Ovis aries: one gene and its partner. The protein of the gene in region 1 interacts with the protein of each later gene in a pairwise test. Links are inferred from orthologs where the notes say so. Each region holds a gene or a part of one and is shown on either strand. Other genes may lie near its edges. The genes, in order: PADI4 and ANXA4.

The links.
Region 2: the proteins of PADI4 (region 1) and ANXA4 interact in binary tests that used the Homo sapiens proteins (3 or more experiments, as listed by UniProt). The two-hybrid records come from large-scale screens. The link is inferred for Ovis aries from reciprocal best matches to the Homo sapiens genes PADI4 and ANXA4.

Annotation. Positions count from the first base shown.
Region 1 is NC_056055.1:248,954,235-248,958,509, reverse strand, and holds the start of PADI4 (protein-arginine deiminase type-4), read left to right. Parts: upstream 1-1,403; 5' UTR 1,404-1,711; coding exon 1,712-2,142; intron 2,143-4,275. UniProt on the Homo sapiens protein: Catalyzes the citrullination/deimination of arginine residues of proteins such as histones, thereby playing a key role in histone code and regulation of stem cell maintenance.
Region 2 is NC_056056.1:38,569,451-38,573,260, forward strand, and holds part of ANXA4 (annexin A4), read right to left. Parts: intron 2,744-3,810; coding exon 2,653-2,743; intron 1,321-2,652; coding exon 1,241-1,320; intron 1-1,240. UniProt on the Homo sapiens protein: Calcium/phospholipid-binding protein which promotes membrane fusion and is involved in exocytosis.

The DNA of each region.
Region 1 (4,275 bases):
TTAGAGAAATGCAAATCAAAACTCTAGTGAAGTATCCCCTCATACCAGTCGCAATGGTTATAATCAAGAAGTCTACAAACAATAAATGCTGGAGAGGGTGTGGAGCAAAGGAAAGTCTCCTACACTGTTGATGGGAATACAAATTGGTTCAGCCACTATGGAGAATATTGTGGAGGTTCCTTAAAATAAAACTGAAAATAGAGCTGCCAGAAAACCACAATTTGAAAAGATATGTGTACCCTAACGATTGTTGCAGCAGTATTTACAATAGCAAGGACGCGGAAGCAAGAGAAATGGCCGCGGAGAGAGCAGTAAAGAGGATATGGTGTATATACATATATGTATGTATACACAACGGAATATTACTCAGCCGTAACAAAGGATGAAATAATGCCATTTGCAGTGACATGGGTTGACCTAGAGATTGTCATTATGAGCAAAGTCAGACAGAGAAAGACAAATATATGGTATCACTTATATGCAGAATCTTAAAAAATGGTACAAACGAATGTTCTTCCAAGACAGAGATGGGGTCACGGATGTAGGAAACAAACATGGTTACCGAGGGAGGACGGAGGGAAGACTGGACTGGGAGACTGGGCTTGGCGCATACGTATGACCGGGTGTGAACCAGGGGACTATTAATAATGAGGACCCGCATGTAGCAGAACCCACTGTGTGTACAGGGAGCTCGACTTAGCACTCTGTAACGACCGTCCGAAGAGGACTGGCGGCGCGTATCTGCATAACCGGCTCACCTCGCGGCTCAGCAGGGCCCAGACGCCACTGCAGACTCATAGGCTCCAGTAGAGGCTCTGCTGCTCCAGATCCCCGAGCAGGCCTCCTCTGGGTGTTGGCTCTGGGGCCCGTCCCGCCACCCCTCACCTGGACGGGCAGGCGGCAAATGTTGGCCCAGGGCAGGGTGCCTTTGGCTCACACCCTGGCTCTGCCGCTTTCTAGCCGTGAAATCTGTCCGTGACTCGGTTTCTTCCTCTGGAAAATGGGGATGATAATGGCGCTGACCCCAGAGAGCCTCTGTGAGGGTGAAATGAGGGAATCACAGCAGAACCCACCTCACAAGCTCGCCTTAGGGAGTTTTCCACGCGAAGGCCAGAGAAAGAAGCCCCGCACACCCAGGAGAAACCCCAGGAGACAGCCGTCGCAGGGGTGGCCCAGCCTGGGGTGACTTGTCCCAAACCTGGTCAGGCTTTTCTTGTTTAGTCCCTTTTATTCTGTTGTGTATTTTTAATCAGAGTATGATGGCTTTACAAAGTTGTGTTAGTGGCTGTGGTACAGCGAAGAGCATCGGCCACACACCCCCCTCCCTCTGGAGCCTCCTCCTGCTTGCCCCCCACCCCCGAGCCTCTTCGTGCTCGCCCCTGGCCCCACACCCAGGCCCTCGCAGAGCGCCGAGCCGAGCCCCCTGCGGGGTGCAGCGGCTCCCACTCGCCGTCCGCTCCACACACGGCCGCGTGTACGTCAGTCTTACTCTCTCAGCTCGCCCCCACGCCCCTTCCTCCGCTGTGTCCACATGTCGGTCCTCCAGGTCCACGGCTCTATTCCCGCCCTGCAAACAGGCTCCTCAGTCCCATTTTCCCAGATTCCGTACACGTGCGTTCATACACGCTGTTGTCTTCCCTGGCTCCTCTTTGAAGGTGTCGCCCGGCCTGTGGCCTCAGCCTCGCCTTCTCCTCTCTGATACCCTGTCTGGATGGACCCAGGTGTCCGTGGCTCCAGGAGGGGATGGAGACCCAGGGGGCATGAGACCTCAGACCCGCAGCCCCGCTCACAGGCTTCCGAAACCCTCAGCTCTTGCCAGGACGCTGACCGAACCAGCCTGCCACCAGTCCTGGCATCAGCGCCAAACTGGGTCCCCGGCCTGGGGGTAGCTCCAGGACAGAGGAGGGGCCGGGGAGACACCGCCAGCCCCGGAGGAGGAAGGGCTGAGCCACAAACCGCAGGCGCTGACTCACGGCCTCCGCTGGGCGCTGGGCAGATAAAAGCAGCAGCCCCGGGGCCTCCTGCAGCCGCAGGGACGCACAGGCCAGCGATGGCCTGGGGCACGGTGGTCCACGTGGCCCCGGGGCAGCCCACCCAGGCCGTGTGTGTGCTGGGCACCGAGACGCAGCTGGATGTCTACAGGTGAGCAGGGGACGTTCTGGGGCCACGGGCAGCTCTGGGGCTGTGGGTGAACGCCTTCTGCTGCCCCACGAGGGGTTTGGCTCAAGCGGCGGCCACTGCCGGGGAGAAGCCGGAGGGCCGAGATCCAAGTGGCCCCAGGACTCCCCTGGACTCAAGGCAGCGGCTCATCGCCACAGACGAGAGGGGCTTCCCCAGGGCCTCACCGCACAGGAAACCTGGTAGGGCAAGCAGGACCACATCCTCTCACGCTTGAGGCCGTGAAGCGCAGAGAGGTCCTGTGACTCGCCCAAGGTCGCACAGTGCGTGGATCCTGGGAACGAGTCTGGCCTCCGGATCTCACAGCCCCGGCCCACCTCCCCTTGCGCTGGGCTGCCCTGCGCTGCTCAGCCAAGCCTCCCTCCGTGGGTGTGCAATAGCGCGGGCGTGATGAGACAGGTTCTGGCATGGAGCGGCGGAGGCGGAGGCCTGGCCCTGCTATTGGTTAGCTGAGATGCCCTGGGCAGCTGAGCCTCAGTTTCTTCATCTGTGCAATGGGGATCATACCCGCTTTGTAGGGTGCTTGCGGGGATGAAGTGTGGAAACCTCGAGAATGCCTGTTGTGCACTTACCACAGTGCTGGGCCTGCCCCGGTGGCGGTTCTTCTGTCCATTCATTCCTTCGACAAATGCTAACTGAACCCCTGTTGCAGCCAAGCCCCGTGCTAGGCTCTAGCTAAACAGGGAGGTCTAAGCTGCTCGTGGTGGGCACAGCGCCAGCCTCCAGCTTCCGCCGCCACAGGTGAGCAGCTGTGCTTCTGGAAGAGCGCCCAGAGGACAGCTTGGCACACTTCCTTGAGGGTCGCTTGCCTCCTGAAGCGGGGCAGCAAACCGCAGGAAGTGTCTGGGGCCTCCTGGGGACACGGAGGCTGGCAGGAGGCCGAGAGGGTGAGGACTGAGGGGGGAGGAGGCCCACCGTTATCCGGGCCACCCTGCGCCAGGGCAGTCTGTCCATCGAGCCCAGGGTTCCAGCCCCGCCGGCTCACACGGTCACGGTGACACTCACGTCACGCTTGGCACACACAGCTCAGCCAGCCCCCGTGAGGAAGGCAGCGCTGTCCCCATTTCACAGAAGAGGAAGCTTGTTTTTACCAGTTACCTTTCCGTTGTCCATTTCTCTCTGTACTTGCCTTTTTGAAGGAAATTTTCCTGTTCTCTTAAAAAATTGTTGCATTTTCTCCATGTATGGAAATTTATGGACTTTATTTCTATTCTTCTGGTGAATACCTTTACATTTTAATAATAAAATGTTGAAAGTAAAAGTTGCTCAGTCGTGTCCGACCCTTGGCCGCCCTGTGGCCTGTACCCCACCAGGCTCCTCTGTCCACGGGGTTCTCCAGGCAAGAGTACTGGAGTGGGTTGCCATGCCCTCCTCCAGGAGATCTTCCCAACTCTGGGATGACACCTGGGTCTCCCACTTTGCAAGCAGAGTCTTTACCATCTGAGCCACCAGGGATTGAACACTACCTTAATCCTCTCTTCAATCAAGCGCCTGGGAACATTTTAACTGTCATTACCCCTCCCAATTTACATTCTGCCTTTTTTTTCTTAATGTCGCAATTTTGATATTTTTATAAACTTTTAAAACACAGACAAGACTCTTCGGATTAACCAAAGTATTTACCGTTTTATCTGCTCACCATTCTTCCTTACATCCAGATGCTTCTGACATTGGATATCTTCTTCTTAAGGCAAACTTCTTAAAGTGTATCTTTAGGAGTTGCTTTGGTGAAAATGCATTGGTTTCAAATTAAAATGCCAGTTCTTCTTCATCTGAAAATGTTTTTATTAAAATATAACTTTACGTACACAAATAAAAGTTAACGGTTATTTTTTCAAGATACTTTGAAGATGTTATTTAACTGTCTTCTGGATTTCATTACTGTTGTTGAGAAGTCTACTTTCAATCTAATTATGAAGCAGGGCAAAGACTAATAGAATTTTGCCAAGAAAATGCACTGGTCATACCAAACACCCTCTTCCAACAACACAAGAGAAGACTCTACACATGGACATCACCAGATGGTCAACACCGAAATCAGACTGATTATATTCTATGCAGCCAAAGATGGAGAAGCTCTATACAGTCAGCAAAAAT
Region 2 (3,810 bases), on another chromosome or scaffold:
AGCCCCACACCACAAAGGAGACCCAGCACAGCCAAAATAAAAAAAATAAAATAAAATGAAGAGAAAAGCAGGCTGGCATTATTAAGTAAACATCAGAGACATAGCAAGGTGGGGGCTGGAGATGCTTTCCAGGCTTCTGCTTTGGTTGTTGCAAAAACAGAAACAACAGTAATAGAAAAAGATGAGGGAGGAAGAAGAGCTGGTTTGGAGGCAAAATGAGTTCAAGCATAGTTTAGGAGGGCTGAGTGGACAGAGGTGATGGCAGAATATCCACAAGGAAACAGGGAAAAGGCAGTGAGAAATGAGAGTCTCACACTCTGGAAGGAGGTCAGGCCTAAAGATAAAATTGTGAAGTTGTGTGACATGCTTGTAAATCCATCTCTCTTTTCTGGCATCCCTGCCCCCACACTGGCCCAGACCTGCTTTCTTCACAGTATCTAGAATACCAAGGTAACCCCTGCCTGGGCTCCCCTCCTCTGGTTCAATTCATTGGAACACCGCTATAATACTACTCTTCTAAGAAGTTCCAATCACATCACGACTGCTTCAAAACCTTCAGAGGCTCCCCACAGCTCTCCGAAAAAAAAGCACAAACTCTCCCCAACATGGGACCCCTGTTCATTTTCCCACCTGACTCCTAGAATTACTAGTCCAGCGGCTCAGCCAACTGTTCCCTGAACCCAATCTGTGTTTCCTGACTCCTTGTCTTGTCCTCACTGTTCTTTCTGCCTGGAATGTACCCCCACACACCTGTGCCTCTTGAAATTCCAGCAACCCTACTAGTCCTCTCTCAGCCAGCACCTCTGCCATGAAGCCTTTTCTTTGTTTCTGCAACCAAAATCTCTCCTTGAACCTTTCTTCTGCTCTGTGCCTCTTTTTTGGCACATACTTTCATGCTTTTATTATAGCAACACATGGGCCTGCTAGATCCCCTTCTGACAATATAAATTCTTAAAGCCCAGGACTGCCTTTAACCACATTCCTAACTTTCAGTGCACTGAGAAATGATTGTTTGGCGTATATTAGGTACTTGTATGCATAAATGAGAAAAAATGGGGATGCATGACTAGCTAGAGTCTCTAAAGACAGAATATAAAATAACAGAGAGGCTTCAGAAAAACACAGGGAAAAATTCCCATTTGGGAGGTTGAAAGGTTGAGAAAGGCTAGAAGAGCCGGTAGAGAGTGAACGTCTCAATAAACCATCCCCCCTGCCCCCATCAAAGGTGGGAGCGACTCACAGCGGACAGAGACACCAGCACGCGCTGGAACATGAATGATGTGTCAGAGCGAATATCGTCTTCAAGGCTCCGCCCATATTCTAGCAAGAGAGTCAAATTAGTGACATCAGAGTGAAGATCTCTGCCCAACACCAGGTCACACCCCAGAGTTTTCCGTCCTCTCCTGGACCAGCCTGATTACTGAAGCAACTCATCGTGAGGTTCTTCAGCCCATACACAGCTGATGAAAAACTAAAGTCTTGGTAAAATGGTCAAGAGAAGTTGATGATTAGAGCAGAGACAAGATGCTCTTGTTGCTTACATTGTGGGTTGAGAACGCGGGGCTGTGATCCCCTCTTTGGTGGTTCCTACTATCTAGGGATCTGTCCTGAATGTGGTTTGCAGTGACACAGAGCTGGTTAAGCAGCATGAGGAAAGGCAAATAGGATGGAGCTTCTGAACCTGTGTTTGGGGACAAGCAGCGGACTGTCCACAGGGAGAAGACCACAGGCAGTCAGCGCTAGAACCAGACTCCCAGGTTTCCACTCTCCCACTCTGAACACCTACCAAAAAACTCTTACTATTTTGTTTTCTTTCTACTGAACTGTACATTTATTACAGAAAACTTAGGAAAAACTGAATGAGTTAAATGAAGTGGCGGGGGCGGGGCGCGGGGAGGCGTTGAACAAAACCTCATCTAATCACCCAGAAATAATCACTGATAACATTTTGGTGAATATCCTTCCTCATTTTCCCCACATCACATATTATTTTTGTTTCTTTAAGAAATGGGATCACAGCATCTCATTTTATGATTTGTCTTTTCCCCTTATTCGTATACCATACCACTCATTGTAATTTAATAACATCCTCCGATATACATTTTGATGATTATGTTGTATGGATAGCCACTCTGCTGGACATCTTTGTTTAGCCACTCTGCTGGACATTTTAAGCTAATATAGATGACACTGTGGGATCTGAACCTTTGGACATTTTTTATTATATTCCTTAGGTCAAGAAGGAGATTTTTAAGAGGGGAGTCTTGCCACTGGGGGTGGCTGCGGGACCTACAGCCTAGTCTGAAGGTAAGAAATTGAGGAGACTGCTCCTCCAGGCCACTCCCTGGAAAGCTATGATTCAGTGGTGCCACCACATTTGAATAAACATCTTTGATTCTCTGCTTGATACTAAAGAACAGCTTTTCAGCTTTCAGGGTAGTAAACACTTCACTGGGTAGCCTAAGAAGAGAGGCAGGTACCCCTGAGAAGTCTCGAAAAGCCAACAGTCATTTGGATCGACAGGGATCTGCCTGACAGCTGAGCTTGTAGCTGAGGCTCCCTCGAGGTCAGTGTTTCAGTGGGTAACCTCCCGCTCCAGTCTACTTCTCAGAGGACAGGGCCGCCACCAAGGCCCCTGAGGATGCTACATACGCAGCTGGTAGGTCTGGTTTATGCGCCGGATCTCCTCGGGCGTCCGGGAGGCCAGGATCTCAATCAAGCAGCCCTCATCTGTGCCAGCTCCCTAAATGTAAAAGCCAGAGGAGAGGGTGTCATGAGTCAGGTCACCAAGTTGAGTCCCAGACACAGGAGGGATACAACCAGAAATCTGCAGAGAATAAAGACAACTCAGCTAGTTCCAGCAACAGGATTTGCTCATTTTTAACTTTCCTATCCAGATTCCAACATGTTTATTAGTCATAACAAACATTTCATGGGCTGCTTTTGGGTGTTGGTTAGGAATAGTTTCCACCCTCTGGGGATTTTGTCTTGCCTTGGTCTCCCCTGTACTTTTCCTTTGAAGGGCAGAATCTTCTGGCAAAGGCTGTTATCTCTGTTTCCCAGTGACTAGCCCAGAACCTCCCATGAACCTGAATATTCATTGACGTGAGGGAGGAGGGGAGTCATAATTGAATTTTGTACTTGGTTGCTAAAAATCGGCAGAGCCTGGTGTAGGGCACAGTGGCTCTAGCATCTTGGGAGGCTGAGAACTCTTGGCAGGTTCTGAGCTTACAGCAGCCCAAGAGGCCCTCACGGGGTCAGTCAAAAGTTCCATATCTCAAAACAGGAGCTAATATGGCAAGAAATTGTCTGGAGTTACACAAGCCCCACTCCAGTACTCTTGCCTGGAAAATCCCATGGACGGAGGAGCCTGGAAGGCTGCAGTCCATGGGGTCGCTAAGAGTCAGACACGACTGAGCGACTTCTCTTTCACTTTTCACTTTCATGCACTGGAGAAGGAAATGGCAACCCACTCCAGTGTTCTGGCCTGGAGAATCCCAGGGACGGGGGAGCCTGGTGGGCTGCCATCTATGGGGTCGCACAGAGTCGGACACGACTGAAGCGACTTAGCAGCAGTAGCAGCAACACAGCAAGCACGAGTATAATCACTCCCCAGTGGGCCACGGAGAAGAAAGAATTTCTTAACTTTTGGGGAAACAGCTTTGAAGTTACAGTCGCTAGATTGTAAGGTCCTGTTTTCAAGTTGTCTTAAGGAAAATCCTTCCCCCACACCCTCCTCCTCTACACTCTCAGGCCTCTATCATGGCTTCTTGAGAACGCCCCGTGGGTCCACCTTTGCACCCCCAGCCC